Linked DNA regions of Coturnix japonica. The protein of the gene in region 2 interacts with the protein of the main gene of each other region in a pairwise test. Links are inferred from orthologs where the notes say so. Each region holds a gene or a part of one and is shown on either strand. Other genes may lie near its edges.

Region 1 (4,839 bases), on a different chromosome or scaffold from region 2:
TGCCTGCAAAAGATAAAAACACAGTTGTTAGGAACTGATTCTGCACTGAACCAAATTCTCCTGTGTAAGTGCAATAGTTAGGCTTCCCTGCCATGGTTTATTTTCTGCTGAAGTTGTTGATTAACTCCTACATACTGTAATTTACTTAGCAGTGGTTGTAGAAGAGTACAAGCAGTCTGCATAAGCTAGAAAACAACATCCTTTCATTTTCTATTAATTTTGTCCAAGATGTAGATTTTGGATTTTTGACTCTTCCTTACCTATGAGGACATAGCTTTCCTTAACACTTAAGATACTTTTTCCCTTCCCCCCTCACCCCCCTCAACTGAAGATAGACAAAATAGCCCATACAGGTGGTATACTAAGTTACCTCTTTAGTACTAGAAATTAGAAAAGAAAAAGGACCTAATTATCATCAGTTACTAAGAACTATTTCCTGTATGCTAGTCATATTTATTCTCAAAATGCACTGCAGATAATTATGACCCCTAACTGAAAAATCTGTTTACCATTTAAATTCTTTAAAGCTCTTTCAGCATCTCTCCTGTTCATAAATGCAACAAAGCCACAGTTTCTTTCTCTTGCTCTTTCTTCATCAGTTCTTGGCCACATAATTTTAACACTCGCTAGTGGTCCAAAGCGCCCGAATTCTTGACATAACATCTCTTCATTCATCTAAATGAAACAGAAGTAAAAATTAGCCTCCTGCAGCAGTAGTTCTAAGATATTTGTTCATATTACTATACAAATGTGGAGATTTTGATTTCATGGAGAACACTTAATCAATTCCTCATCAATTAAATCTGCTATAAAACAATAATAGAGAGGCTGAATTCTAAATTAAGCACAATCAAATTTCTGAGATAACTCCTCTCAGAAGGAACATCCATAGAAAAATTATTTCTGTTCAGCATTTTTACATCCAGTAAGTGATATTTTTAACCTTAACTATTTCAGCATCACATTCAGCATATCTGTTTCCAAATGAATACTGCTTCTACAGTTGCTAACTCTACTTTATACATGTGTATTAAAATATGCTACTGAAAAAAGCTACTGCCAGAATTTCAGCTGGGCCCAAACACGCTAATACTGCACTTCACCGGATAGCTCCAAACTTACTTGAGGATTAATGTTTCCCAGGTACAAATTTGTTGTGCTTGGATCCCCAACATCATGTGACCCTGGTGCATAATCATCCAGTACTAGAGTAATGGAGAAGAAAATAAAAGTTACAACCCTTACTATGCATTTAAGTGGCATTACATTGAATGAGAAAAGAATCTATATTACCACCAGATGATCTGTTTCTTCTTGAAGGCGCATCCACTGAATAAATAAATAAAAAAATACGTATTTAGTCAAGAAATGTTTTGTAGATTGAACAAACGTAAAGGCAACATCAACTCACTTGAACGACGCTGACCATCTGAATCCGACTGGGGGGGCTCAAAACGGCTCAATCTACCTTTTGTTTTATGTCTTTCATCACGCTCTTCTTGTATCCTACAAAACAAGTTGAAAGTAAGCAACAACCTTAACATTTTAATGTGTCTACTTTGAAGTATCATTTTTTGCAATAGGAGAATCTTTAGCGCTTATTGAACAATGGACTTGTTAAAAAAAAATGTGAAATTGCCAGTATGCTTTCATTTTAGTTGAATCAGGTGGGGTAGAACCACCAGAATAATTCCAGCTGCATTCCTCATTCATACTGTCAGGTTATTTTTACCTCAAAAAAAGAAAAAGTTTGAGAAGCAGTTTCCAAGACTAGAAATAAAAACTGTGCTCTGACAGAGTGACCTGAATTGCATATTGGACAGAGATCCATTAACTTTTCCAGATGCACACAACTCTCAGCATCGTTCTACTTTTTGTAGTTATTATTCACATAGCTGTTACCTTGCAGGGTAACATCTGAACATCCCCAGTACACACAAGACCCTCTATTTATACCTCTGATGAAAGCCCACACACAAGTAACTACTATTTGGTATCTCTCTGCCTTCCAATTTTTGGTTCATTAACAGAAGAGGCTGGGAGTAGAGAGAGACTTTGGGGAAGAGCTTCGCAAGAAAAAGGAAGGGAACCAGGCAAGGGGGGAGGGAAGTGTCATGATTAACTCTTCAAATTGTGAAATTCACATTAACTAAACCAAAAATAATCTTCAAGTAGCTCTAGAAACATAACAGCAATACATTTATTCTGGTCTCTGATATATACTGTTTCTTTTTGTTGTGAGTTTTGGGGTTTGTTTGTTTGTTTTTAGTCTTTAACTGCTCTGGATATTCTTCTGGTTAGGGAAGCAGTACAAAACCTCAAAGGTCAGACAAACACTTCTGGCATGGAAAGAAATCCACTCATGTTGACCAGCATACTTCAGTGCTTGTTCACCGATCATTTTTAAAGTCTCCGATTCCAAAATAGAAATACTTTTCAGCAGTAGTGGTAAACTCTTCTTAGTACCAATCAGCACAGTGAAAGACAGGAGCATCAAGGACACCAGAATGCTGATTAGATGGGATTATCCACCCAAACCACGTGGACCTGTACCAAGCATCTACCAACAAAACTTCACGCTCCATTTAAAAGTCTGATTGCCAATGCTAACAAAAGGGGCTGGGAGCAGAGAGACTTTGGGGAAGAGCTTAGCAAGAAAGATTCAAAATACTGCCTATAGAAACAAAGTAGATGTACTATGTGTCTTATTTACAGTAACAATCAAGGAAACTTACTGCTTTAATTCTTCTTTAAAAAGTTCCAGATTGCTCTTTTTCTTTTCCTTCTCTCCTTTCTTCAAAGGCTAAAATTAAAGAAATATCAGCCAACATTTGAGCAGGTGCAATGACACACACAAAAAAAATGGAAATGGTATGTACGTAACAGAAATTTAGATAATTTCCATGCATTTTTACCCTCAGCTTTCAAACCAAGTAAACTACAGGAGAAAAATAAAAGAAAACAGACTTGAAAACATTAAAAATGACTGCTACCAAACACAGCTATCAAATGTAAAATTAAGGATAGCTTGAACTAAACTTTACTACTTCTGATGACTACAGTACAGCGTACGTGATCCAACACTTTCTCTACAACACACAAATTTAAGATACCTGTGGTGTGTTTTGTCAGTTTGGTCCACTTTAAAATGTATGACAAAACCGCTAACTGCCCTAACAAACCTTCACGCTCCAATTAAATTGATACGTGTGCACTTGTTTTTTGAGAATACACACACATATATACACACAAATATACAGTAATAATTCACATGTGTATATATGTATATTCAAATATTTTATCCACAGGCAAACATTCTACTTGAAAGGAATTGCCATCCCTTATTTCCCTTCAGATACAAATACAAGTCTGAAGAGTCTGAAGAGTTACTGTAAATAAAAGAACCTCAGAAAAATGACTGAATGACAAAGAAAATGGATTTTATTTATTTTTTTTAACTGCACTTTATGCACCTTAACTAACTCACGTGAATCCTTCTACAACATCGCTTTTAAATAACCAAATTTAAATGAAAACGTTTCCAATAGGCAGACATACAAAATATTTGTGTTACACACTACAGCTTTGGAAAAACTGGACTTCCTACTCACCCCAGGCAAAGTTGTTTGTTTTTGTTTGTTTTTGGGGAGTGTCTGCCAAATAAATAAAATCATTTTTACCTCATTATCTTCAATCACCATTGGACAGGGCAAGTGAGTAAACTGATTGCATTATCTGATAAGTATTTATGACAAATTTGAAAAGCAGCAATATTCTTACAGTACAAATACTTGCATATGACAACAGAGCTCCAAGTGGTTAAAAAAACAAACATAATTCATTCCTGGTACTGTAGAGCTTTACATATGATGAAAATCAGCACTGCCATCCAGCATCATCTCACTATTCAAGGTTTGAGGTTTGCTTAAAGCTGGAGGAAAGTTAGGATGGGATTATTCACAATTACCACCTTCTACCTCATTTCCCATCCTGGTAGGCAGTATCACATTGTTTTAAGCTAAGTTAAAAAATTGTAGTAAGCACTTTTAAAGACTTCCAAGACATTGAATACAGATTGCACATATACAATAGTCATACATAACTATCACCTGACTTGAGAACTAAGGCTGTTCATAAAAATTCCAGTAATTATTATAACAAAAATCTGAGTTTAAGAATCAGAAAGTGCATCCAACCATGCAATGGTCAAAATAAATTAAACAAAAACCATGCTGTTCAGTTTCAGAAACTCTCAAGCTCTAAAATGTATTCATTTAGTAGAACTTAAAGAGCTGGAGGGAACTGTTCTAATATTACCACCCAAAACAAACAACTGTCCTTTAAAAATGACCCAAGAAGAATTTGGATCAATGCAAAGGCGTTGTCTTGTTTGGTTGGTTTGTGTGGGTTTCATTTCTTGTTTTTGGGGTGGTTTTGTTTGTTTGTTAGTTTTTGGGTTTTTTTTGTTTTTTGTTTTTTTTTTGTTTTTTTTTAAGGTACAAAACACATAACAGAACGGTAACAAGAAGAATTGCTTCTAAAACTTCACAAATCCTCCAGACTGGAGATTGTTACTTTAAGACAATCACCAAATCTGTATTCGTTACTAGCTGGAATACAGTGAAGACATACAACACTGGAGGCGAAGTGTAGCACCAAGTACTCGGCACTGGATACAGGTCTACCAGATACTTGCATTTTATCTTCGTGTTATTTTCTACGGAATTAAGCAAATCAAACACACTTCTGCCTTCTTTTACTGTGTGATAAATGGAAACACTACTCTGCAGGACCACACAGATTTTTCCTAAGAGCTTCAAAATAGTTTCTAGAACAAAG
Region 2 (4,839 bases):
AATCATTGTGCATTAGGAATACTTAGAGAAACCGTGTGTACATGGAAGGTAAAAGTAGTGCAATTCCTTGAGCTTAAGCTATAATAGCCATTTTCTGCTCTATTTATTGTGACAATATTTCACCTCGTGCCTTTACACAGTACTGTTATTCTGTTTTGATTCTTTCAGGATGTGTGTACATTCTTTATGATCCATAAGGTCTAGAGTGAGATTACTTAGATACTGCTACAGATGATTACTGAGACATGGCATTTATTCATTGGAATTGGTGCTGATTTACACTGCTAAAATTGACAGCAGGGTTTTTTGCTGTTGGTTGGAGCAACGTGCATGAATGAAATTGGAGATGGCTGCTGTGTTAGGCCTTTTCTTTGTCTGTATGTGTGCAAATACCCAGGCTGGATGTGGCTCTGGGCAGCTTCATCTGGTTGCCCAAGGAGGTTGTGGATGCCCCATCCCTGGAGGCATTGAAGGCCAGGCTGGATGTGGCTCTGGGAACCCAGGTCTGGTAGTTGGTGACCCTGCACATAGCAGGGGAGTTGAAACTGGATGATCATTGTGGGTCCTTTTCAACCCAGGTCATTGATTCTATGGAATAGAATAACAGTAATAGAAGAATATAATAAGTTTGAAAAATGGATCAATAATATTTTGCTAGATGGTAAAACATGTCTTTAGAGCAGGTTGAAGACCCTTCTTAGGAAAAAATCTTCTAAGTTCAACCTGAAGAGATCCCCTGTGCTTTTAATGTGTGCTTTGCATCCAAGCGCAGAGCATTCACCTATCGCTGTGTGTTTCAGTGCATGCACAAACAAAGTCTGATCTCTCTTCCTTAAAAAGAGGAAAGTGTGCTATTTTAGATACTTTATATTTTGGCTGTTTTTCAGAGTCAGAGAACCAAACAAACAACAGTACTTGCTCCAGTGATTGACCTGAAACGAGGTAGTTCTTCTGATGAGAGACAGATCGTGGACACACCGCCTCATGTAGCAGCTGGGTTAAAGGTAAGAACAAAACAGGCTCCATCTGTTAACAGATGTTTCTGAATTGGAATACTTTGACAGCCATCTCTACTTGATTTTTAAATGGTCTTTCCAAGTGCTAAAAGAACTGATTTGTTTTCCAGAATTGGAACCTCAGCTCAGAGGTTCTTAAATTAATGAGCATTTCAGCTTTTTACACACTTCCATGTGATACAACTTGGAAGCATCCTGATGAGTTAAAAGCTGGACAGCTTCAAAATACTTTGCAAAATGGTCGGGTAAATAACAAAGGTAGATGCAATGCACCAGTGTATAATGATAGGAATAATCATCACAGTGATACTGTTGTGGAACCTTTGGAGGTCGTCTGGTCCAACAGCACTATTCAAGCAGGGATACACCAAACACGTTGCCCAGGACTATGATTCTATAATCTTAGCTGACAAACATCACTGTTCTCCTTTTTCTCTTTCAAGGATCCCGTACCTAGTGGTTTTTCTGCAGGAGATGTATTGATTCCTTTGGCAGATGAGTATGATCCTATGTTTCCAAATGATTATGAAAAAGTGGTGAAGCGGCAAAGAGAGGAACGACAGAGGCAGCGTGAGCTGGAGAGGCAAAAGGAAATTGAAGAGAGAGAAAAGTAAGGCTTTTGTTTTAAGTGTGGCATATTGGCAGTGAGGTAAATAATAGGCTGTTAAATATACATCTCTTTGGTTTTATCCCCCTGAAGAGATACAGGGAATTTCTTTGGGTTTAGCAAATAATATTATTTTAGAGTGTTTGTTGTCAATGTAGTTTGACATTAGAAATGCTTATCAGCATTCAAAGATAAATATTCTCCCTTTTTACATACTTCACACTGGCCTGTGAATTCATTTCAGTTTTAAAGCATAGTGAGCACTGCCTTTATGAAGCATAGTTGCCTATTACTTCCTTCCTTCCAGTACCTGAAAAGTTCTTACAGTGAGAGCGGGGCAGGTCTCTTCTCACTAGTGGGGAAATGGCCTCATGTTGCACCAGGGCAAGTTTAGGTTGGATACTAGGAAGAACTTCTTTACAGAAAGGGTAGTTAGGTACTGGAATAGGCTCCCCAGGGAGGTGGTTGAATCGCCATCCCTGGTTGTGTTTAAGAGCCGTTTGGATGTGGTGCTCAGGGATATGATTTAGTGGAGGGTGTTTAGAGTTAGGGTACTGGTTAGGCTGTGGTTGGACTTGATGATCTTNGTTTAAGAGCCATTTGGATGTGGTGCTCGGGGATATGATTTAGTGGAGGGTTTTTAGAGTTAGGGTACTAGTTAGGCTGCGGTTGGACTTGATGATCTTCAAGGTCTTTTCCAACCTGGGTAATTCTATGATTCATGTTTTGCCTTCAGTTTAAGCACATTATGTATTTATCTCTCTTGTCTCTGGACAAAAGAATATTAATTTTTAAGTACTTTGGTGCTTTTTCCATGGAATAAGAAATCCCTTTAATCTTATTAAAGGTCTTGAATGCAGATTTAGCATCCTATTGAAATAGGTGGTAAAACATCTGCCAGGCAACAAGATTACAGTTGGTTATTCTAAGTGAAACTGGTAAGCAGTTTCATTGTACAGACACATGAAGTCTGTGGAATTACGCTGTTTAAGCATGAAGACTGTTTTCTTTTAAAACTGACTGATTAATCATTGCTTCAGATAGCCTTTGGTGGGGAATTTTAATGGGAATCTGTTCAATGCAGGATGATTAATTAACAGTTCTGCTACCTTCCTGATGTAGTCTTTCATTCAGTGTCATCAGTTTGGGCTAGATTTATTCATAGGCTTCCTCATTTCCATACTTTGTTTTCGATTGGTTTGCAAATGGAAAATGATTTGAATTCATTTCCTGTTTAAAAATAGGATAAAAGCAAACAACAACAACAAAAAAAAACACTAGAAGTAAGGGTGTTTACTTACATTTTCATAGAAAGCACATGATAAATTGCTAATTCAACTGGCCAAATGCCATGTAATTCGCATGGCAAAGGTAGTGTCATGAGTTAAAGCGGAGCTGACTTGGATTGTTTCTTATCCTGACTTGCTGTGTCTCCTAGAAGACGTAAAGACAGGCATGAAGCCAGTGGGTTTTCGAGAAGACCGGATCCAGATTCTGATGAAGATGAAGATTACGAAAGAGAGAGAAGAAAAAGAAGTAAGGGAGCTATTTATTAGTAGGAGGAAGAAACACAGGGACAATGACGATATGGTCACTGTCCTGGTTTGATGTATTTTGTGTTTCTCTTTTCTCAGCTGGGAAGCATACTGTTAACATTGGAGCCTCTAGAATAAACCCATTGTTTTATTACATTGTAGCTTTTTTAATACAGTATTTTTTCCTATGGTGGAAGCTGTCATCTTGATTATTTGTGGCTTTCCACTGGTTTGTCAGTACCTATTTTAACTTTATGCCTGGTGTGGATTCCAGGAGAAAAGGGAAGCATGGGATAAAATGAAGCCATGAGAATCACCATTGAGCTTTCACTATTGGTGCTTTACCAAATTGGTGACTACCTTAAAATGCTGCATATTAAAATGGGGAGGGGGCTTTGTACTGTACTCCTGTGTAAGTGTAGTTAAGCTTGAGCGGAGTATTGGCTTAATTGAACTGTTTTAGAACTGAAGGTTTGCTTCCCTTGTAGCCTTAAACTTTGCAATTCTATGCAATATGTTGACTCTAGAAACAACATGTGGTACATGATTGCAGTATAATCTTCTTTGGTGGGCTTTTCATTCAGATTGCTCACTCTCTTGCTGCTGCTTTTGGAGCCAGCAGCTGTGTTAAACCTCAGTGCGGCTATTCCAAGCAGCAGAACCTAGTCACACAAACATGCTCTTTTCTGTTTTACTCACAGGTATGGGAGGAGCTGCAATTGCACCACCCACTTCTCTGGTTGAGAAGGACAAAGAACGTAAGTACACCAAAATCCTGTCCTCTGAAAGCAGTAATATTGCTTAATTCTCACTCAGCATTCTATTCAGTGAGGTCATCCTGCTGTTCTTTCCATGTGGTTCTTTCTTGCCCAGTGGCCTGTTCTGGTTGTTTGTTGACCTCAGGGAGGTTGTGGGGAACCTGTAATATTACTGTTTCCTGTCTCTGTTACAAAGGATTCTTTCTGTATAGCTGGAGATGTGGTTTAACAGGCTGCTCTGTTGTAACCGTGCCCAGTTACTCATTTGTGGTGTAAAAAAAGTGATGTTGAAGACAGGTGGATGAAAAACTTCAATGGTATGAAGAGAGAATTCTCCCATCGCCCTTTGCGTTCAGAGGTGCTTTATGAATGACTCCTCTAAAGCAGTCATGCAATGCAAACACAACTTTTAAAATCTTTGAGGGATACCCAAAGAACACTCAGAAAAATCCTCTTAAGCAAATATCATCTGTGTGTGAAAACTGAAGCTTTGAAGGTCTTACTTTGGAGACAAAAGATAAGTTCATATTTCCACTTTACTGCTAATAGATAATGCAGGTGATACCTGTTGAAGAATTATGTGTGCAGAAGGGTTGTCCTCAATGAGTTCGGGTTGAAGATCGCACTATTCCACTAGGTGGCAGAATCGTGCTGTAAGAACAGAATGCTAAGGGTTCTTTTTATATGTCCGGTTTTTAAATGACACAATGTGCTGTTCATTGTTTTTCGTCCTTAAAAGTAATAGTGCACATAAGGGACCTTCCAGATTTTATTTGAAAGAAGATTAAAATAAAATAATGGAAGCTTGGCGGTGTAAGTGAATGTTATAATAGTGAAAGCATTTGAAGTGTGTAAACACTAGAAACAGAAAATGTTTTGAATAAATAATTAGGAGCAATTGAGTAGAGTCAGGGAAAAATAAA
Region 3 (5,554 bases), on a different chromosome or scaffold from region 2:
TTTGTGAAAATCTCTATTACCTGAACTATTCCACATCTTCAACATGAAGAAATACAAACTTAAGAACATCCATAAGGAAAAAACTTATTACTTCAAGTTATAAATCTACTCCATTTTCTCTAAACTAAGATAATCTACAAAGTTAAAATCAAAGCAGCAATACCAGAACAAGTCAATGGCAAATAACTGGCATTAAACACCAACCAATCTTGGACTGGTCCACTACTTTTATCAGAGATGTGAAGTATACTTTCTTCTAACCATAAAGTCCAAGAAATAATTATATTGCAAGTGCAGAGAAATAGGATTATTTTTGTTGTATGCTCAAAATTGCATCTCACCTCAGTCTTTGTGGCAGTTTCAGATTACTAAGATCTGTGTACCCGTCTCCACACACAATTTTGCTTCCCCTACTGAACCCTGATACACTCACCAAGAAACCCCCAGATTTACCAAAGAAATACAGCCACACAGTTCCAATAAAACTCCAAACCTTACTGTGATTTGGCACTTTGAAGAGAGTCCCACTTTACCAATAAATTCCATTTTTTAGATTACATTTTAAACAACTACAAGTTTAAAAAAAAAAAATGGCATTTTTATCTGCAAAACTTTTGAACTAGAAGTGCTAAAGTAATAAGCAAACTTCTAGCTAACGTAAATTAAATGGACAGCAAGTGGGAACCAAACTGGAACTGTTACTCCCCAGTGACTGTTATCTCATTAACTCTTCAGTCATAACAGAAAAGGAACCGATCAAGTTCTACCTACATTTCAGAAGTCAAAAAGCTGACTTAAAGGTCAACCAAGAGAGTTGATTTTCAGTTCCAAAAATGGTTAAGAACAGTATAAAAGAGGGGAATCAGACGTCAGCACAGAAAAAACAGACCTTAAATCTAATCATCAATATTAATCTTTCTACAACAGCATTACTTTCCTAAGAACATGTCTGTCAGCCTTCCACTACCACTGAAATCTATGAGGCACACCAGGTACCTTGCATCAAAACAAGGGACAGGTAGAGTGATGGTTACACTGCCAAATGATAACACTAAAATCTCTGGAAACACAACTTGGCAGTTCTTCATTAATGGAATGTCACATTTAAGTCGCTCCTCATCTCTGCACTTAACAGCCTGACCATAAACCCTAAAACAAACAACAAAAAGAATCAAAACTTAATAACATTTGTCTCGTGCATAAAGTCCACAACAATCTTCATAAATGGGAAGAGGTTGGTGGCAACGGTGGGTTTTGTTGGGCATTTATATTTATTAGTTGGATTTCTGTTCTCATGTGAGGTTGCCTGGTTTGCTACCTGAACTCCTTATGCCCACCCATACAAATAGATGGAAAAAAAAAAAAAAAGGTGAAAAAAATAAATCACTGACTTAGAGGACATAAAAGCACAGAAAACTGCAAATGGAAAAGAAATAAGGTTAAACCAACATTCACAGAATCACAGAATTGTAGGGGTTGGAAGGATCTCTAGAGATCGAGTCCAACCCCCCACCAAAGCAGGTTCCCCTACACCAGGTCATACAAGTGGGCGTCCAAGTGGGACTTGAATATCTGCAGAGAAGGAGACTCCACGACCCCCCTGGGCAGCCTGTTCCAGTTCCATTCATCACAACAGAAGTCTAAGCAAAACTAACATCACTGATACATGCATTTTTGCCACTACTAAGCAGACGCAACAATAGTTGTTGGCAGTCGATGCAGCAGCAGCAGTTAGATTGGCATTTCTGCTCTTTACCTAAGAAAATCAGTGAAAACGATGCATCACACAAACACAGCAACTGTGATGTTACACAACACCAAACAAAGATAAGCGTGCTTAGAAAAAAAAACCATCGGGTTTTAAATTGCACACATACAACTTGCACAGTAGCACTGTAACAGAAAACTTCTAAACCACACCTTCCCCAAAAGGTTTTGTCTTCACAGAGGATTCTTCAAGACAGGAAGATAACGAGTGGTGTCAAGCCACTAAGGCTGCAAGAACAGCTGCAAACCAACAGCATGACTGCCATGTGGGGTTACACACACTGATACAGGCCTCAGAAAGAACATAGCAACAACTCAACATAATTTTACATTGTAGACAGGTGACCCACGTTGAAGGCAAGGTACAATGCTATTCTATACATGATGTGGTATCTATTCAAGGAGCTAATATAGTTTAATCCAGTTCCAAAACCAACTACACTGCAGAAAGCCACAGTGTGCAGAATAGGACAAGAATATACATGTTGGTAACAACTTGTGCATCGCAGCCTTCTGTAGGCTGGAAAACCTACCGACCCTTACATAAGCCAGGACAACTTAGGATGAATAGTGTGTGCCTTGTGCTGGATGAACTAAGATCTCAAGGACTATGACAAAGAAATAAACTCAACAAGTCCACAGTGACTCTTAGTCCTGTGCCACTTAAAGCTTTTAACGGCAGACTTGGTAAAGTTTTAATGGCAGATGAGGGAAGGACAAAGGGACACAAACCCGGCACCTATGGAGGTTTGAGGTGCAATATTCTGTGCTGATTCTTCTCAGATCAACACTTTTACCTAAACAGCACTGCTGGGCTTCAGGGAGGAGCTGATTCAGGATGGGATTCAGGATGGGTTCTGTGCTTCCCAAGAAGGGCAGGCCAGATAAACACAGCCCTGCCTTCCTGAGCCTTCTGAGGCCCTTTGCTCCCAAACCAACGTCAGGGAACACAAAATATGAAGAGACCGCACTAAAACAACAACGGCACATTGTTTGTGTACCCCCCACGCCACTAACCTTGATGGAAGGCTGCTAAAGCTGGTGCATCGAGCCCTAAAAGTAACTAACGCAAAACAAAGAAACCTACTCCCACCGTGACATCCCACCCCAACCCCACCTGGCGCTGCCTCCTCACATGAGGCACAACCCCAGCCGGGTACCCAGCGCAGGCAGCTAACAAAGGAATAACGCTCCCACCCGCTTAAGGACGCAGTACCTCACGCTGACCCCCTGGATCACGTTTGCCACTAAACGAAAACGACACAAGCGCATCAAAAAGGAGATGCGGAGTTGAAGGTACGGGCAGGCCGCACACAAAGCCGCGCCGCCCCACCGCCCCCAGCACAACCCGGCCCCTCCTTCTCCTCCCCGCCGCCATCCGCCTCCCCCACTCTCCAGGCCGAGCTGGGCCCAGTCCCACGCTGCAGCGCGCCCGGGCCTCGCCGCTCCCATCCATCCATCCATCCCTTCGTGCCGCCCCGCACGGCGGAGGCTCCATCCCGCGGGGAGCGGCCTGGGCCCAGAACGAGCAGCCGATCACGGGAGCGGCGCTGATCCCCCCCATCCTCCCGCCCGCCGCGGGCCGCGCTGCCTCGTACCCGTCAGAGCGCTTCTTGCTGGAGCTGTAATCGTCGCCCAGATCTAAGCGGTGGCGCTTGGACATGGCGGGGGCCGCTGGGTGCAGCGGGGCCGGGTTCAAGGGAACGCGCTTTGCGCTTCAAGAGCAGCAGCGACGGCAGCGGCGCCGCGAGGCCAGGAGCAGCCACTAAAATGGCGGCCGGAAGGAAGCGACGGGGCTGAGCGAGCCGCTGCCGCGCATGGGAGTGAGCGCCGCCCCGCCCCGCGCCTCACAACGGCTGCGGCCCACAGCGCTGTGGGGGCGGGCGGGAGCGGATGGCAAAGGTGCTTTCCACAGTCCGTTCTGCTCCCCAGCACAGGAGTATTTCCACGGTGGAAGTTAAAAGCAGAATGATGTTGGCACGTCGTTTTTGTGGGCCGTTGCTGACGCCCATGTGTGTAGAAAAACGCGACCTTTCACAAGTCATCTGAAGCAGAAGTGAGAAAATCGGTGACGTTCATTCAAATACATGACACTCATGTATTTGGGATTGCTAGTGCAAGGGAAGCCCGTGTTCCTAACGCCAGCAGGCACGGCTGCCACTATTACATCAAAGTTCGTTAGATTTGAACACAAACTAGTATTTCATAACAACTGCTGAAGTGCAATGAGACACATGAGCTAAAAATGCCATTTTCTCAATACAGTTATCAGGTCTTTCTTGTGTACTGATGCATTTCACATTTCCAGCCAGTACCAGCAGCAATCTATGGCTCAAACTGGATCCAGCAAACCTGCCTTTTGGGTTGTCTCTGTGTCCTGAACTGTGTTCCTCATCTCCATCCTCCCCCAGCGCCTTCTAGGAACTGGGTTAACCATCCATGCAAGCTGTGTTTGTTCCCTGACTGTAAGCAGAGATGAGGCTGAGCAGGAGAAGACAAAATCAGGCAATTAAGATGTCCCTAAATGAGATGTCCTAAGTGAATCGTTTGTAATGTTAATCATTTCACCACTGATATGAGCACTATTATTTCTAGGCAGACCCCCGTGCTCTCACAACTAGATCCTTCAGCTGTTTCTCCTCTCATCCATCATTAAGTCTTAGCAGCTGCCTTGCTTTCCAAAACAGTCACTTGATAATACAGCATAGCTCATAAAAGTCAATCTCTGAGAGCTTCTCGAAAGGCAAGAAGGATGTTTCTTGATACTTATCTACTGTTGGACATTCTCTTCTCTGTTCCTCCCTGCTTTCCCAGTATATTTCATGTTCTCTCAGTGCTGCAGTAGTGGTTTAAATTAATGTCTCAGATAAGACAGGTTAATATTATGGCAGTACATTTCATTCCTATCTCTTCATCTAGGTGCACCTGACAAAAAATACATTGTTTTCCAAGTCATCCTCCCTGCCTGTTCTCACTGCCTTTCTGCCAGAGATTACCAAAACCTTCACCTAGCTACTTGGAGGAGTGGTCACTCCCCAGCACTTTGGTCAAAGGAATTAGGTTAGATCAGATGTTTTGAATAAGAATTTGTTGTTAACTTGTGTAACTCTGAGGGCAAGAGAGTATTCTCACAACTGGCTCAGCTAGCAAATCTGAAAATGGTCAGAAAAAATCACTTAGCAGCAAGTGACCTGTTCCACGGGCACAGCCAGCTCAGGAAGTAGGTGTTTACCCACACCCTCATGTTCTTCCAGAGTTACATCAGTGTAACTGCTATAACATTCCACAAAGACAAACCATCAGTGTATATTTAGTAGAAGAGCATTTTTTATTTTAAACGATACAACAAAACGACACCCTCAGCTCAAGTTCTAGGCACTACTACAATAAAGAATACCATTTTTTTCTGCTTGAAGTGATAACTGAAATAAACATTCCAGAAATTCTGGACTTTGAGCTTTTCATGCAAAACTGGAAGTAATTTTCCAAGTTATATTACAAAAAAACTCTGGAAAAATCTGTGTCACAGTTTGCCAGGGGTTAAATGTTACGGGTTTCTCTCTACATGCCAAATATCAAGCTTATTTTCTCCAAGGCAGCGTACAAAGCACTACATTCCCAGAGGGTAGCTACACAAAGCTCTTTAAATGACAACTGTATTAAGCAAAAGCTTAAGAATACTGGAAATAGGGGAGACGTTGAGCTGATTAGAGAAGGGAGACAAAAAATAAAACAATAAGGGGGCTGGATCTCCCTGGAAAGTGGGAAAAATAGAAGAATGTAAAAG
Region 4 (5,379 bases), about 100 Mb from region 2:
GTTGGAAGGGACCTCAAGGATCATGTAGTTCCAACCCCCCTGCCTGGCAGGGCCACTAAACATACACCTTTACTAGATCAGGTTGCCCAGGGCCCCGTCCAACCTGGTCTTGAACACCTCCAAGGACGGGGCATCCACAACCTCCCTGGGCAGCCTGTTCCAGGGCCTAACCACTCTTCTAGTGAAGAACTTCCCCCTAACATCCAACCTAATGTCCAGCCATTGCAGAACATCACCCCTTTGCTTGTGAAAGTGCTTGTGTGACGCAAGTGGCATCACCCAAATAAAAGGCAACACATGAGAATTAAGAGTCAGACTACGGCCATTGAGTGAAAACTATTTATTTTATAAAAGGAAATAAAACAAACCCTACCAGTGTGTACATTGTACACATTTGAATGCCACTTACAAGAATGAAGTTTCCATATACAAAGATTACAAGTTCACACTGGTAAAAGGATGGATACAAGCACGTATTCAACTTGAGATGCCTCCGCTCCAGCTGACGGTACCAATTACTCTATGACCATGGTTGCACAGTACTACCATCCACTCTATTTTATTCCACTACCAACACAGAAAGCAAGAAGGGGTTTATTCAGAGAGCGCGTATATTCATTGCAAGAGTTTAGTTGCTGGAATCTTCTCTCACTACTCTTCCGTTGCCATCTTCAACAGATACTCCTTGTCGATTTTGAAGAGCCTCCAGCCCTCTTCAGTGGACAGATCGGAGGCGCCCCTTCTCTTGTAGAACCTGATGGAGGGCTCGTTCCACTCTGCCACTAGGAAGTGCATGCTGCTGCAGCGGCACTTGACAGCAACCTGCAGGAACGCAAACACAGGTCAGCGGGTCTGATGCTAAGCAGCACCAGCTGCAGATTGCTCCGAGTCATGATGTTCACTTTATCTCTCAGTTCAGCCTCTAGGCAGTGGTTAAGGCTGCCTGGAGCTCTGTCATTTCTCTTTTAGTAACTCATCAATGCTAATCCTGTGTAGTGCTCAAGGAGAAACTTGATTGCAGCTAACAGAAAATCAAGACTACTGCTCCATCATGCATCCCCAGTGCTGTTCATTTAGACTTAACACTCAGACATACCTGACTCAGATTCTTCAGGATTTCTGATCCAATGCCAAGTCCTGAGGGAAAAAGCAACAAAAATATACAGTTTAAGGAAAAAACAGCAAGACAATTTCAATTTTAAAGTAGCTCTGTAGGAAGCAGCTTGTCTGATTCCATAGTACTTACCTCTGTATTCAGCCATCACATAGAAATCTTCAAGATACAACAGCTTCCCAATCCATGGATCGTAAGTGAAGTAATACATAGCAAAGCCCACGATGCTGTGCCCTGAAACAAAGCACGCAGCTTTAGCTGGTCTGAAGCTACCGATTTGCATTAAGTCTTACATGCATATTTAAATATACAGATAGTGACATGCAGCCGTTTGCTATAAGGTTAGAATAAGAATGAAGCACAACTGGAAACGTCAGTATAAACTGGCATCAACCTAACGGAAGACTGCCCTCTTCACACCCTGAAACGCTCAAGAGCAATGTTATAATAAGCAGTGAACAAAAAGGCTTTATTTCTACTAATACATACCCTACTGATTTATCAGCACTTCCCTTCTGGAATACAAAGCAATACAGAGCAGTCCAAGGCCTAGGTAACCGCCCCAACACTGCCTTGCTTGGCAACCCCGACAAGCTACAAAGCTCTACAGAAGGTTCATCTTCCAATGTATTGCTCAGTAGAGAGAAGACATGCTCAAAGACAACTGGTACATTCTGATACATTTCTGATACGCTGACATATGTGCACACTGATTGTATTGTGCTGTTTTGAATTCAGCACCAACAAATCAAGCTACATAGAACTGCAGCTTCAAGTACAGCTGCACCACTCAACAGGGAAGAGAAACCAGCTCTTCCTGCAATAACATATTCAAATCTAAGCCTTGAAAATCGCAATGTCTACCATCATACTCTGCACATACTCTAAAGGAAGCGTGCAATAACTTCTGATCTACTGTGTCTTTGGTAAAGGTTTGGGAATAGCACTTGTCCCTGTAGACCTTACCTCATATTATGATCATCTACTTTATTGTGTAACGGATCTTTTAGTTACCTCCCCGCCCATCCATGTACACAGAAGGGCCATGTACATGGCGAAGCTAGAGACTGTAACCTGAAGATTGGGGACAAATTAAAGAAAACATGTGATTCAACAGGATTACATAAGGTTAAGTTAGGGTCAAACAAGAAAAGCCATTTAATTACTTGGCATTAAGTACATTGTTACACCTGATCATCCAGCATCTCCGAGGTTAGCAACTACTTCACAACAGCACGGCTCTACGTTATCGCCATTTTTAAGCTTAGCCTGTTCCTCCTGCCCCGACTCCTCGCTGGAACCTCAAGTCAGGTAGGTCACAATAAGCACAAGGCATCTCTTATGTAAAAAGAACAAACGAGCGGCGCAATATCTCACCTTCAGCCGACCACTGCTCTTTGGGCACCTCCGCAACGAGGCAGTGGTAGAACGGGTGCTCACCGAATCCATCCTCCAGCAGCTCTACGAGAGCAAAACAAACGGGACCCTTCAGATGCGGGCGGCGGCACCGAGCCGCAGCAGGGCGGGCAGTCGCTGCAAGCCTACCTTTCTCGGTTAGCACCACTTGATCCTCCATGTCCTCGTACTTGGCTAGTTCCTGGAACGGCACAACACGTCAGCCGCCTCCCCCGGGCCCATCACCCCTCCTCCCTCCTTCCCTCCCCCCCTCGGCCTTGCGCAACGCCCTGTTTGCGCCTTCCCCGGGTTCGGCCGCCTTTCCTTCTCTCCCCCCCCCCCATCCCATCCCACCCCCCCCCACCCCATCCCTCTTGGCCTAACGTTGGCGTCCCGCACCTTGATCAGTCGCAGCAGGTCTGAGCAGTCCTCGGGACGCGCGGCGCGGATACTGAACGAAGCCATTTTCGACGGCGTTTCCCCCTGCGGCCCCCTCGGCTGACGAGTCCCCGGTGTGTGAACAGGAGGAGCAGCTGTTTCTTCATTCGTGTCCCGGGCGCGGCGGCCACCTGCGGTCAGTCAGGCTGCGAGCATGTCCCGGCGGCGCTCGGCAAGCAGACGGCTCCCACCCGACAACAACCCCGATCCAACGCCAACTGCGCCGGCTGCGCATCCTCCGCCTCCATTTATAGATGACCGCGCTCCGCCTCTCCCCGCACGACAGCCAATGGGAGTGCCCGCAGCTCTCGCCCCCAGCCAATGGTAGCGCCCCTCCCCGGAATCTTGCCTCGCCCTGCCAGCAACAGCTGCCGCCGGTGTCTCGTGACTGCCGGCCGCCATGGCGCCCTCTGGCGGAGGCGGGAGGCGCAGCAGGACAGGCCCCCCCTGCTGTATGTGAGGCTCGGGGCGGCTGTGCCACTCACACCGTTTTCCAGTGCACACCATGGCTTAAGAAGTTCACAGAATTGTAGGGGTTGGAAGGGACCTCTAGAGATCATTGAGTCCAACCCCCCTGCCAGAGCAGGCTCCCTACACCACGTCACACAGGTAGGCGTCCAGGCGGGTCTTGAATATCTCCAGAAAAGGAGACTCCACCACCTCCATGGGCAGCCTGTTCCAGTGCTCCGTCACCCTCACTGTAAACAAATTATTTCTCACATTCATGTGGAACTTCCTATGCTGAAGTTTCACCTTCATTTAGACACAGGGACCAGTATGGAACATGATACTGCCCAAGGATTGGATGGAGAAGTGTATTCTGGTGTCCAGGTTTGGTCAAGAAAACCATCTGGCACATGCTTAGAGCCCTGGAAGGCTCTAACATCTTAAATTCACCCTAAATCCAGTTTAGCCTCCATTAGAACAAATATGGAGCTGTCCAGAGAACAGATGCATATAAAAACCAGGAAGTGGCAGTCACAAAATCACATAATCACAGAACTGTAGGGGTTGGAAGGGAACTCTGGAGATCATGGAGTCCAACCCTATAGCAGGTTGCACAGGAAGGCATCCACAGGGGCCTTGAATCTCTCCAGAGAACAAACTCCACAGGCTCTCTGAGCAGCCAGTCCCAGGGCTCTATCATCCTCACAGTGACGAAGTGAACTTCTTTACAGTGAGGGTGACGGAGCACTGGAACAGGCTGCCCAGGGAGGTGGTGGAGTCTCCTTCTCTGGAGATATTCAAGACCCGCCTGGATGCCTACCTGTGTGACGTGGTGTAGGGAGCCTGCTTTGGCAGGGGGGTTGGACTCGATGATCTCTAGAGGTCCCTTCCAACCCCTACAATTCTGTGATTCTGTGATCTTCCTCATGTTAGTACAGAACTCTTTGAGTTCCAGCTGCATTGCCCCTTGTTCTATTGCTGCTCACTACCAAAAAGAGTTTGCCCCATCAACATGACTCTCACACTTTAGGTATTTATAAACAGTTATGAGATCCCCTCTCAGCCTTCTCAGCTACCAAAACCAGGTCCAGCCTAACTACAATGCATTTCATCAATAGACATCGTTTCAGCTCCTAGATGTAATCTCTCTGGGATCAGCAATGGGGAACACTGTCTCTATCAAAAAGAGTACGTGAATTGTCTCAGCTGTTTCTTATTTCACAATGAGGAAGTCACGCTATTAGAAAATGCTGTTATGTAAGAGCAGAAAGTGGCTGATTTCTTTCACTTTCAAGTCAGAAGAGTCTGTGATTTTAGAAGTTAGAACCAATTGGAGTTAGATTTCAAACTCACAATGCACAAGAATAAAATACCTGGAGAACTCCTAGCCTCAAAAGAATCTTTTATGAGCCAATAAGAAGCACAGAATAAATCAGCCCATCAACCTTCCTTCCCCCCATAAGAAAACCCCACTCATACTTAAGATATCTCAGAGCTTGTGATGTAATTCTTTACTTATATATTACCATTGGTATTTTTTTCAGTGTAATGGCAAGCATGTTTAAAAAAGAGGCTTTAAGAATGTTTCACGTCATCTTAGCATCACAGAATGACTCACCCAGTAAGTCGGAAGGGACCCTAAGGATCATCTAGTTCCACCCCCCCCCCTGCTGTGGGCAGGGATGCATTCCGCCAAATGGGTTTCTCAGTGTTGCTGATGTCACTCTTGATGTAGCAGAAACTGATACTTCAGTTCCTGATGATTTCCAGAGGGCTTGGCTGGCTTATTTATTTACACTTCTGATGGGTATGAGTGTAAGCTTCCTGGTATCAATAGTGTAACTGGTATTAATACAAGCATATGAGGCATGTTCTCCACAGAGATAGAAGCCCAGTCTGGTGGCAGCCCAAAGGAAATGGTCCTGCTGGTTCCCCAGTATCCTTTTAATGGTGATATGACCCAACATTTTATTCAGTGTTGTGAA
Region 5 (4,839 bases), on a different chromosome or scaffold from region 2:
TAATCATTCTCTATCTAGTTCAGCAACCTAGCTCACCTGTACCATCCTCACCTCTTCCCCAGCACAAGGAGCTCCTGCAACCTTGCAATCAGACTGTCCTAAGACAGGTTAGAACAGATGAACTTCCCTACATGCACTGAATTCACCCTGCAAGACAATGACTCTTCACTGATGTCTTTCCAGCTACATCCTGCAGGTAAATACGAGAAGTGAAAGGAGGAAGGGGCTCACTACTGCACAAATACTGTGTTCTCTAAGGAAGTCAGTGTTAACATTTCTTCTTGCTGGTGTCACCAGTTCTGCAGCTTCAATGGCCAAAAATCAGCTAGCAGAATCTAAGCTGATAAAACTCTTACTCAACTGCAAGTGAGCAGCCCCTGACACTACACAGGGTCTGACAACTTGACATGCTAAACCATTTATTAAGACATAACACCTAACTGTGATACTGAGCATGAAAGGAGCTCCAGGGCACTTGCACCGTAGCACCAACTTCTATATAACTTAACGGAACAGTCCCATCTACTTGGAAATAAACGTTAGGCAACAGTTTGTTGGATCTTTTAGGCAAGAAAACCCTACAGTGGCAATTTCTCCTTCAAAGCATATTTTGCCAGGACAAATGAAAACAGCAGCAGTCATGCACTGTCTTTGTCTTCAGCAATGAAGACAGAGGATGAAACCTGAGCACTGTCTATCCTTATGATCATAGGGCTGTCATCAGCACTTGCAGCCATGAGGTCATCTGACCTGTGATATTATTAGTCACCTTCAGCAACACCGCCACGCTGCCAGATAGAAGCGCAGTCATTCAGAGGGTCTTCACTGATTTGCAATTGGATTAGCAAGAATTAAAAAGGATTATCAAGTCAAGAACTGGGATTATTTAAGTTTGATTAAGATCTCAGAAGATGACCAAAGATTATCATAAAACAGCAAAGTGAGACAGAGGAATCAGAACACACTGCTGTGGTGGAACACTGTCACCCCCAGAGCCCCAACACAAAGCACAGAAGGCAAAACAAACACTACTGTCTGTACTGACAGATGTGAAAGCAGGTATACTAAAGCAGAGTTGCATCAAAGGCAAAGGAGAAAAGTACACAATGTATTTTACAAAAGCTTTTTGAGAGCTTGACTTTTGTTAAGATTTTTTTTCCATTCTCCATAAGGTGCAGGCCATTTGGTTTACAAAACAGGAACATAACTGGCAGCAACTCTATAGTTATTTTCAAGAAGGTCAGGAGCGCGTGATATTTGACCTCCCTCCCTATCTCTGTTACTAGGAGGCTTGCAAGGGTCAAGCCTGAACTCTGAAGAGTTCCAGAAGGAGGCAGCAGTAGGAAACACATGCATTCATACATATTCCTTGTCAACTTTATGATTGGTATGAGGCCTTTAACATCTTCAAGGCTGAGGCACTGAAAAAGCCCTAGTCCTTCTACGAATTCTTCTGCTGAACTGAAAAATGAAACTTCTCCCCCAAAACGTGACAGTAGACAGAACCAGTGCCACCCCTGACCACTTCTAATAGACTCACACAGAGATCTAAGGCATCTATCTGTGAGACTAGAGGCTTTTATTCTTCAAAAGCCTTGTGTCACAAGTTACTGTAGGGCAATGGGTTACAGAAGTCCTAGCTGAGCATTCAGTTACTCAACAGAAAGAGTAATTGGAGACAAGTTACCCAATGAAAGAGGAAAGTTTGTCTTTACGGTAGGATAAGAGCGCACAAGTGAGATGTTAGCACAGGTCTGTACCGCAGCAATGGTACCCTCATCTGTTGCAAAAGAAGAAAGCTCACAACCTTAGATGCAGGCTGCACAAGTCAGAAAGCTTCCCATCTGAAGCGTATCAAAATCACAGCCACAGCCAGAGTTCAGCCATTTGGAGATGCACCTTAAGAGAACCTTGGTAACGCCCCACCACCTATGAGCTCTTTAAGGAGTGTTTGAGGACCCAGGCAGCTGGTCCTCAAAGTTACATATTTTTCTTGATGTCTGATTTTTCTCATTTAATAATTAATACAAATTATTTTAATACCCGATAAAAGAGCTGCAGAAGAATCCTACAACTGTGCAAAAAAGCCAACTTCCATGACATATACGCTCCTTTTAGAACACCTTTCACGAAAAGCATCTTCCTATGGTTCACAACTTACGTCAACTTCTGTGCATTTCTCTCCACCTTTAAAAGCCAGCTCGAGAACTACAGCTTCCACAACATTCAAGTAAAATTATTGGAAGAGTACTGATTTCATAAAAAAATAAGCAAAAAAATAAAAGCAAAAAGAGTGAGATCCCACAGCCACTCTAAACAACAAGAAAAAGCAAGACCAGCAGAGGAGGAAGGGTATTTATAGCTGCTTCACAGAGTGCAAGGCTTCGGGGAGCTGTGTACATGCCAAAACTGTCAACCATTTCTCAAATAGGTTACACCACTACATTGCTATGTATGTTACTCCTCCTACAGCGGGGCTCAATGGAGGCTCAGCAAGACAAATTTACTACCAAATTCCTTAAACAAGAGGGAAACACTGTTCTGTATGAAGCTGAATGGTCCTGCTTCTTAAGCGCCTGCCTCTGGTTTCAGGTTAGCCAGTAGCTGGCTCTGAGCACTATTCTGCAGGTTAACAAGTCATATATACCTCCAAAGATGATTTAAGATGCTTACCTGGACTTGCTGGGGTTGCTGAACCTGTATCTGCTGCTCTTGCTGAGTTTGCTGCTGGACACTGGTTGTCACAGGGCAAGCAAGTTCAAGCAAAGACCCGGCCACCTCTGTGCTGTCCGTGTAAATGCAGTTGCCTCCCTGCTGGTACACCATCGTGGTGGTGGCTGTCTGCTGAAACTCCTGCAGAGCTTCCGGCCCCTTGGAAGCCAGGGAGTCCAGGAACTCCTTCATCCTGTGCTGGGGGATCGTTCGTGCCTTCACACGGATGTATTCTTCAAAGGAAATGGTGTTCTCCAGAGAATTATTCATATTGCAAGGTCCTGAGGGTTCCTTAAGGAAAGAGAAAGTGAAAACTCTTAACTACGGCGCTCCTCTGGTGCAAGGATATTCCCAGCTCCAGTGACTAACTTCTGATACTGAGCACCATATGAAATCCAGCAAACATGTAGGGCCAGATGCCCTGAGACAGATGCTTTAGCTTTGTAAGGCACCTTGCAGCGCTACAAATTAACCCTCAGCAGTTCAGGGAAGTCAGAATGCCACCAGGTACAATCATGACACCTATTTCAAAGAGCTCACTGCCATGTAACACCTTCCAGAATTATATCTCACCCAGACCAGGCGAGTCTCATCACAGAATAAATCAAATCACAGATCTCATTCGTTTGCAGCATGCAACGCTAGCGAGAGAAGTTCAGAAATCAATACACATGGCCCTGCTTCACAGCCATGGAGGTGGGAGAACCAGGCAGGGTGTTCTGCCAGGCCATGCAGCTCTACTCTAAACAGCTAATAGGAAGCGGAACAGAAGAGCAGCAGACGCAGCATTCAGCCCTCTGCTATTAAAACTAGTAGAGACCTATCGATCTGAACACAGCAAGTGAAAGGAGAGCACTGGAATCAAGAGATTCCTCAAACAGAACTACGCACACGGAGAAGCAGAGCACTGGAAATTAAGCAGCCAACAGCAGCATCGGTTCCTGTTACCTTTTTAATATAGGAAAAGATTAACGAGAAACATTTAAAGACAGCAGAGGGACAGCGGCAGTCAGATGATTTGGGAGAGTGAGTGCAAGGAGGAAAAAAAAAGATGACTACACCTGAGAACATTAGAAAGCTCCAGGGTACACACTGGCAGCGTTCTTCTCTTATTGACTTAACTTGTTTAAACCCACAAATTGTTTCTGTCTGCAGTGAGCATACTGCTTGTTTCTAAGGTACTCATTAGTCCCGATACAGGGTAAATGGATTTGAGCTCTAACACCACCAGCTGCTGAGATGGCTGTGAAAAGACATGAAACAGCACAGCATTCAGACTAGGAGAGGAGATGTGTTATTACCAGCGGAGAGGTAGAAAAAGGGACAACATCACTGTATGCACATATTGACTGCAGTACTTAATAGAAGTATGAAAAGCAGAACCCTTAGCAACAGTTCACAGTGATTTAACCAAGCGGAACCAGGACAGAGGTTTTTGATTGAACAGGAGACTGCAACAACCGTGTGAAGACGGGAGCAAGTCCAAGGCTGTCAGTGGCGTAACCGCACTGCCAAGTCCAAGCCCAGCTCCCACCAATACCAGCAAGCGCTACAGTGATCTCTAACCACTCTCTGCTGTTACGTGACAGCAGTCCAAACACACTGAGCTTTTGTTTACATGGAGAGGTTCACAGATAGCACGTTTGACCAGGCCCACGTGAACAAGAATGAACACCACAGGTAAGGGAATGTGAGGCAACTTGCTGGAATTACTACTTAAAACATGTACCAGTTTTCAGTGATACAAAGCAGATGATAGCAGTGTTCACTTGCTAAATACAACAACTCCGTAGAAATTAGCAAACAGAAGTTCCCATAGAGCCCAGAGCTGGACAGAGAGACAGTTCTCCTACCTGTCAGTCATTCTGCTCTGACAAGTTCTCAGGCGTGTGTGACAGAACCAATAATGCTGCTCACTCAGTTGCTGACTCAGCAAGGTTTCCTCCAGGAGTCACTCAAGGAAAAGCTAAGCACATCTAAGCTCAATGCTCAGCTTTTCCCACTAAAGTGGCTCAGCTGATGCTTTGCACCTTTTCTTCCCCATCAACCTCGTTCCAGGTGACCAATGACTGCATGTACCAAGGTGACATCAACCAGAGATTAAAGTTACGAATGCACCTTCAGGGA
Region 6 (4,839 bases), on a different chromosome or scaffold from region 2:
AGGACACTGTGTGGTTTTGGGGTGGTTTGCTCCTTTGCTCCTCTCAATGCCCCATTCCTCTGGATACTGCAGCTGCTGATACTTTCTGGGTCACCGAGTCCTGCAGGTTGGGGTATGTTCTGCATAGCTCTGTGCGCTACCCAAGTGATTCAGCCCTCTGACTGATCTGCTTTTGATTCCCTTTCCTCAGCAGTGAAACCCATGGATGTTGAGCCATCTTTACCAGCAGGACCTACAGCAGCTGAGCTGAGTCTGCAGGAAGAGATCCAGCGGCTACAGCACGAGAAGGAGGAACTGCATGGACAATACCAGGCCCAGGTCCGTGACAACGAGCAGCTGAGCCGCCTCAACCAGGAGCAGGAGGAGCGGCTGCTGGAGCTTGAGAAGACAGTACAGCGCTACAATGAAGAGTCTGTGGACAGACAGCAGATCCTGGAGAGCATGCAGAGTGACAAGGCCACCATCAGCAGGGCACTGAGCCAGAATCGGGAGCTGAAGGAGCAGCTGGCTGAGCTGCAGAATGGGTTTGTCAAATTGGTACGTCTCTTTGATGGATCTGAAATTCCTGAAGCTGAATTCTTACTCTTGCTTCTTTCAATGTACCAGTTTCCCCTTTGGGGTCCTGGCACATAACACACGATCTGGTCACTGGGTTGTTTTTTTTTTTCTCAGGTCTTTCTGAACTTGTCTTCTTGGTTTTGAAGATCTGTTGCTTTATTTGGGGTGTTCATGTCACCCATCTGCTTTGGATCTGACAGGCTGTGTGATGTGCCAGGCCTCTTCTTGGCACTGTCCCAGCACTGATCCCCCCCACTGCTCTTCTCCCATCTCCTCAGCCTTTTAAAAAGTCAATTACTGCCCTTATTTACAGCTCAGAACAACACAAGGGATGGTATCCCACTGTATCAGGAATTAATGTGGTTTACTGATTTAGCTTATGTGAGCAAATACTTATGGTGATTGGGGCAGTTTCCTTCTATGATGCTTTTGATTCTTGCAGACAAATGAAAACATGGAGGTTACAAGTGCCCTGCAGTCAGAGCAACACGTAAAGAAGGAGCTGGCTAAGAAGATTGGGCAGCTGCAGGAGAACCTGGGGGAGCTCAAAGAGACGGTAAGCAACAGCAGAGGGACAGCAGGGCAGGTGTGCAACAGTTTGTGCACAGGAGAGCTGGCAACTTACCAAACTTTGATGGAAAGATGGAAATTGGTATTGTTAATGATCAAGCTGGGAGCCCTCCCGTGTCACCTGCTGTCTGATGCGGGGGACCAGCATGTGGGGACAGATGGTGGCTGCCGGCCTCGGTGGTGGCTTTGGGGCAGCATTGACAGTTTGGATGGTGCCACACGAGTTGTCATCTTTTTCTGGCAGAAATGATTTGATCTGATGGTTGTTTCATGTGTTGTATCATGTGTTGTTAGCTGGAACTGAAAACACAGGAGGCTCGGGCTCTGCAGGAGCAGCGGGATCAGTTCTATGGCCACTTACAGCAGTACACTGTGGCATACCAGCAACTGGCTGCTGAGAAGGAGGAGCTGCAAAAGCAATACTTGCTTCAGACACAGCTAATGGACAGGCTGCAGCATGAGGAAGTTCAGGGGAAGGTGACAGTGGAAATGCACCTGAAGGAACTGCAGCAGACGAAGGTAATAAAAGAGGGGCAAGTGGAAAGACTGGAGGCAAAATGCTTAATTGCACCACATCCTGTGCAATAGAGGTGAATTAGAGACAAGTGATAATTGTGGCTATTTGTGTGCTTGTTTCTGTGGTGCTGTTGCTAGTGACTGTTTTCAGTTTGGTTTGTGCGGGTTTCGGTGAGGAGCTTTTCTCACTGACGTTCTGCTTCTGACTTGCAGGAAAGTCTGGAAGTTGTAGCAAAAGAAAACAAAGAGCTGCAGGCCCAGATCAGTCAGTTAGCAGCAGAGCTGGATGGCAGGATGCTGCACAGACTAGAAGGTGCGTAGCTGCAGCTGCCCTCCAGGGACGGGAGGTGGAACTGGGCTCTGAGGGGTATTTTCACCTCATTGTTCACCTCCCTTCCTTTCCAGGAGATGGAATTGAAAGTGAAGTGATGGCTGAAGAAGTGAAAAACCCTTCGTTTGTGATCCCAGAGAAGTTTGAAAGCCATGAAGAAATGGTGGGTCTCAATGGGTAGAAAAGCCTTTGTTCTCAGTTGTGAACAAATGTCTAGGAGAGGAGGCAGATTGAATTGCAGAGGTTCTGCAGTGTGTATTAAGTTGTTTACCAGCTGTGCTCCCCGCAGTTGAGGCACAGAGAACTGCTACAGTCCCCTTCACACAGCAGCAAAAGAACCAAGAGGATTTCTACAGTATGGTTGAAAAACAAGCTGGAAGTCCAGCAATGGTTAATTACAAAGACAAGCCAGCTGGCAGAGTGGCTCTAACTATTGTGATGATTGATGTTCTCCTCACTTTGGAAGGCAATTAGGAAGTGGTGTTGAACGTCACTAATTTGTTTTTGTAAGCGGAAAATACTGTGATCAAACAGTGGGAATTCAGGTTTCACCTGCAGAGAAGAAACGGTTTGTGCTACTTGACAAGACACGCAGTAGTTGCTGCCTGGGTTGGTCTGACGGGTTTCCTATCCATAAGTAAAATGGGGTTAATTTCTGTTATTCCCCTTACCATGAGATGCACAATTGATCACACTTCACACAGGACAATCACTAACGTGAGTCCTTTGCAATTCACTTCAGGTGACTTTCTTGACGTCTGCCATGTCCCAAGTGGAGAAGGAACGAGAAGAGATGAGGCAACAGTTGGCTGCTCAGAAGCAGCAGTGCAGAAACCTCCTGCAGCAAATAGCAGCTCTTCGGCAGGAGCAGCAGCGTAACATCACACTGAGTGAAGGTAAATCTTGGGTACAGTGTGAGTATGGAGATGTGCCCCAACCTGGCCCTGACCTCTGTGAAACAGTCCTATGGGTTTTGTGAACGAATCATGCTTAAGCAGGCACTGTCAACTACAAATGTCCTTTCCAGATTCCACTATGGGTAGTGTTCCAGTAGAGGTTCATGAGGCTTTAAAAACTGCCATGGAGAAACTACAGGTAAGCAAAGGGTCTCCTCTTTCTGCCCCTCTGCCTCACTTAGCTCAATTTGCACCCAGTGCCAGACTCTTGAATCACACACGTGTTGCAGGGGAATAAGTAGCAGCTGTTCCATGATAATAACCTAATTCCTAAGAAGTGGCTTTCCTCATGACTTGTCTCATCATAGCTGAGCTTCCCCTGCCCTGCCCAAAGACTGTAAGGGCCTAATGCCCATTCCTGGTCTCTTCCTAAAGAAGTAGATGAAAAATAGACAGACTTCACCGTGCTGAGACGAAGCAGATCTCTCCAAGATCTGCAGACTAAGTGTGACCACAGTTGTGCTGGCCCAGCAATGAGAAGGCACTTTGTTCCCTCAGTCCTTCTGCTTCCCAATATGCAGAGATGCTTTGCTCTGCCTTCTGTAGCTCTGTTCCTTTTTACTGCCAAATCAGAGTAGTTGTAAAGGCAGCACAATTTGTTCCCTGGGCTCAGACAGCTGTGAATGGAGGGTGCTGTCTTTAACACGGGTATTCCCATATGTGAGCAGCTGAGGTGACTCACACCAATTTTTGTGTCCAGGCCCGTTTCACAGATCTGATACAGGAGAAAGCTGATCTGAAGGAACGGCTGGAAGAGCTGGAACATCGCTGCATACAGCTGTCTGGGGAAACAGACACCATTGGTACGTTTATACAACACAACACAAACCTGGGCTTTGGGATCTGAGTCTGCCACATGCCGAATGGTTCAAGTCTTGCTACCTAGCTATGCTAGGCTTCCAATCCACAGCTGGATCTTCAGGCAGCATAGGTTTATGCTCACAGTATGGCTTGTACATCAATCTCACTTATTCCTTATGCTTCTCTTGTGTTCCAGGGGAATATATAGCATTATACCAGAGTCAAAGGGCTATCCTTAAACAGCGGCACCAGGAGAAAGAGGAGTACATCAGCAGGCTGGCTCAGGATAAGGAGGAGATGAAGGCAAGGAATCTCTTCTGTAGTACTACAGACACAGCATACACTTATAGGCAGGCCTGGGGGATACCTGCACAATGTAAACCTTCCTTTGTTGTTCTTGAGCTGGCTTTAATTTTGAAGTTTTAACAGTGGCAAAACAGCAAGCTGGATATGCACGCTGCTTAAGTTTTCCTTTGCTTTGGTGCAGGTAAAATTACTGGAACTGCAGGATTTAGTGATGCGTCTGGTCAAGGAAAGAAATGAATGGTACAGCAAGTATGTAGCAGCTGCTCAAAACCCAGAGCTGTTAGCAAGCCAGAATGAAAACGCACTGCCAGTGGAGAGGCGCATTGAACTGAACGCTACAGATGGAGAAGGTAAGCTGGAGGCAGAACAAGTTATATCAAATGGAATAACCCAAAGTCTCTGTGTGTGGATGGGAGGAGTTACCTGCCTGTCTTCTGTGTTCCTCACAGGGTTACGAGAAGTGAATTTAGCAGACGAAGCAGAGCAAGACGCTGCTGCTCTTCATCAATCCAGTTTCTACCCTATTGACACTAAAGCTGCTCAGCCAAGCCAAGAGGACCCTACAGCAAAGCAAATAATGCAGCTCCTCAGAGAAATCCAGAACCCTCAGGAGAGGTCGGGCTCCTTGCTGGAAAACCCCTGCATTCCATTCTTCTATCGTGCTGATGAGAATGACGAGGTCAAAATCATGGTGGTTTAAGTAGCACCAATTCTTATTTACGGAGATTTTCTATGAGCCTGCAAGGACTAAACTGACTTGTACGTGCCCATACTGCTGCTCAGCACCCTTGGTCAGAACAG

The links.
Region 1: the proteins of RBM17 (region 2) and U2SURP interact in binary tests that used the Homo sapiens proteins (3 or more experiments, as listed by UniProt). The link is inferred for Coturnix japonica from reciprocal best matches to the Homo sapiens genes RBM17 and U2SURP.
Region 3: the proteins of RBM17 (region 2) and DHX15 interact in binary tests that used the Homo sapiens proteins (3 or more experiments, as listed by UniProt). The link is inferred for Coturnix japonica from reciprocal best matches to the Homo sapiens genes RBM17 and DHX15.
Region 4: the proteins of RBM17 (region 2) and SAT1 interact in binary tests that used the Homo sapiens proteins (3 or more experiments, as listed by UniProt). The two-hybrid records come from large-scale screens. The link is inferred for Coturnix japonica from reciprocal best matches to the Homo sapiens genes RBM17 and SAT1.
Region 5: the proteins of RBM17 (region 2) and QRICH1 interact in binary tests that used the Homo sapiens proteins (3 or more experiments, as listed by UniProt). The two-hybrid records come from large-scale screens. The link is inferred for Coturnix japonica from reciprocal best matches to the Homo sapiens genes RBM17 and QRICH1.
Region 6: the proteins of RBM17 (region 2) and GOLGA2 interact in binary tests that used the Homo sapiens proteins (3 or more experiments, as listed by UniProt). The two-hybrid records come from large-scale screens. The link is inferred for Coturnix japonica from reciprocal best matches to the Homo sapiens genes RBM17 and GOLGA2.

Annotation. Positions count from the first base shown.
Region 1 is NC_029524.1:9,009,617-9,014,455, reverse strand, and holds part of U2SURP (U2 snRNP-associated SURP motif-containing protein), read right to left. Parts: intron 2,804-4,839; coding exon 2,736-2,803; intron 1,507-2,735; coding exon 1,412-1,506; intron 1,330-1,411; coding exon 1,294-1,329; intron 1,206-1,293; coding exon 1,123-1,205; intron 676-1,122; coding exon 510-675; intron 4-509; coding exon 1-3.
Region 2 is NC_029516.1:3,122,479-3,127,317, forward strand, and holds part of RBM17 (splicing factor 45), read left to right. Parts: intron 1-887; coding exon 888-1,004; intron 1,005-1,459; coding exon 1,460-1,626; intron 1,627-3,061; coding exon 3,062-3,159; intron 3,160-3,859; coding exon 3,860-3,916; intron 3,917-4,839. UniProt on the Homo sapiens protein: Splice factor that binds to the single-stranded 3'AG at the exon/intron border and promotes its utilization in the second catalytic step. Involved in the regulation of alternative splicing and the utilization of cryptic splice sites.
Region 3 is NC_029519.1:66,707,844-66,713,397, reverse strand, and holds the start of DHX15 (pre-mRNA-splicing factor ATP-dependent RNA helicase DHX15), read right to left. Parts: upstream 3,555-5,554; 5' UTR 3,431-3,554; coding exon 3,366-3,430; intron 1-3,365.
Region 4 is NC_029516.1:107,413,934-107,419,312, reverse strand, and holds SAT1 (diamine acetyltransferase 1), read right to left. Parts: upstream 3,189-5,379; 5' UTR 2,975-3,188; coding exon 2,909-2,974; intron 2,712-2,908; coding exon 2,492-2,711; intron 1,349-2,491; coding exon 1,247-1,348; intron 1,138-1,246; coding exon 1,097-1,137; intron 823-1,096; coding exon 652-822; 3' UTR 326-651; downstream 1-325. UniProt on the Homo sapiens protein: Enzyme which catalyzes the acetylation of polyamines. Substrate specificity: norspermidine = spermidine >> spermine > N(1)-acetylspermine. This highly regulated enzyme allows a fine attenuation of the intracellular concentration of polyamines.
Region 5 is NC_029527.1:9,125,446-9,130,284, reverse strand, and holds part of QRICH1 (glutamine-rich protein 1), read right to left. Parts: intron 3,004-4,839; coding exon 2,674-3,003; intron 1-2,673. UniProt on the Homo sapiens protein: Transcriptional regulator that acts as a mediator of the integrated stress response (ISR) through transcriptional control of protein homeostasis under conditions of ER stress.
Region 6 is NC_029532.1:3,749,423-3,754,261, forward strand, and holds part of GOLGA2 (golgin subfamily A member 2), read left to right. Parts: intron 1-190; coding exon 191-537; intron 538-1,000; coding exon 1,001-1,114; intron 1,115-1,422; coding exon 1,423-1,647; intron 1,648-1,857; coding exon 1,858-1,957; intron 1,958-2,049; coding exon 2,050-2,138; intron 2,139-2,717; coding exon 2,718-2,871; intron 2,872-3,002; coding exon 3,003-3,070; intron 3,071-3,631; coding exon 3,632-3,734; intron 3,735-3,928; coding exon 3,929-4,035; intron 4,036-4,219; coding exon 4,220-4,388; intron 4,389-4,487; coding exon 4,488-4,738; 3' UTR 4,739-4,839. UniProt on the Homo sapiens protein: Peripheral membrane component of the cis-Golgi stack that acts as a membrane skeleton that maintains the structure of the Golgi apparatus, and as a vesicle thether that facilitates vesicle fusion to the Golgi membrane.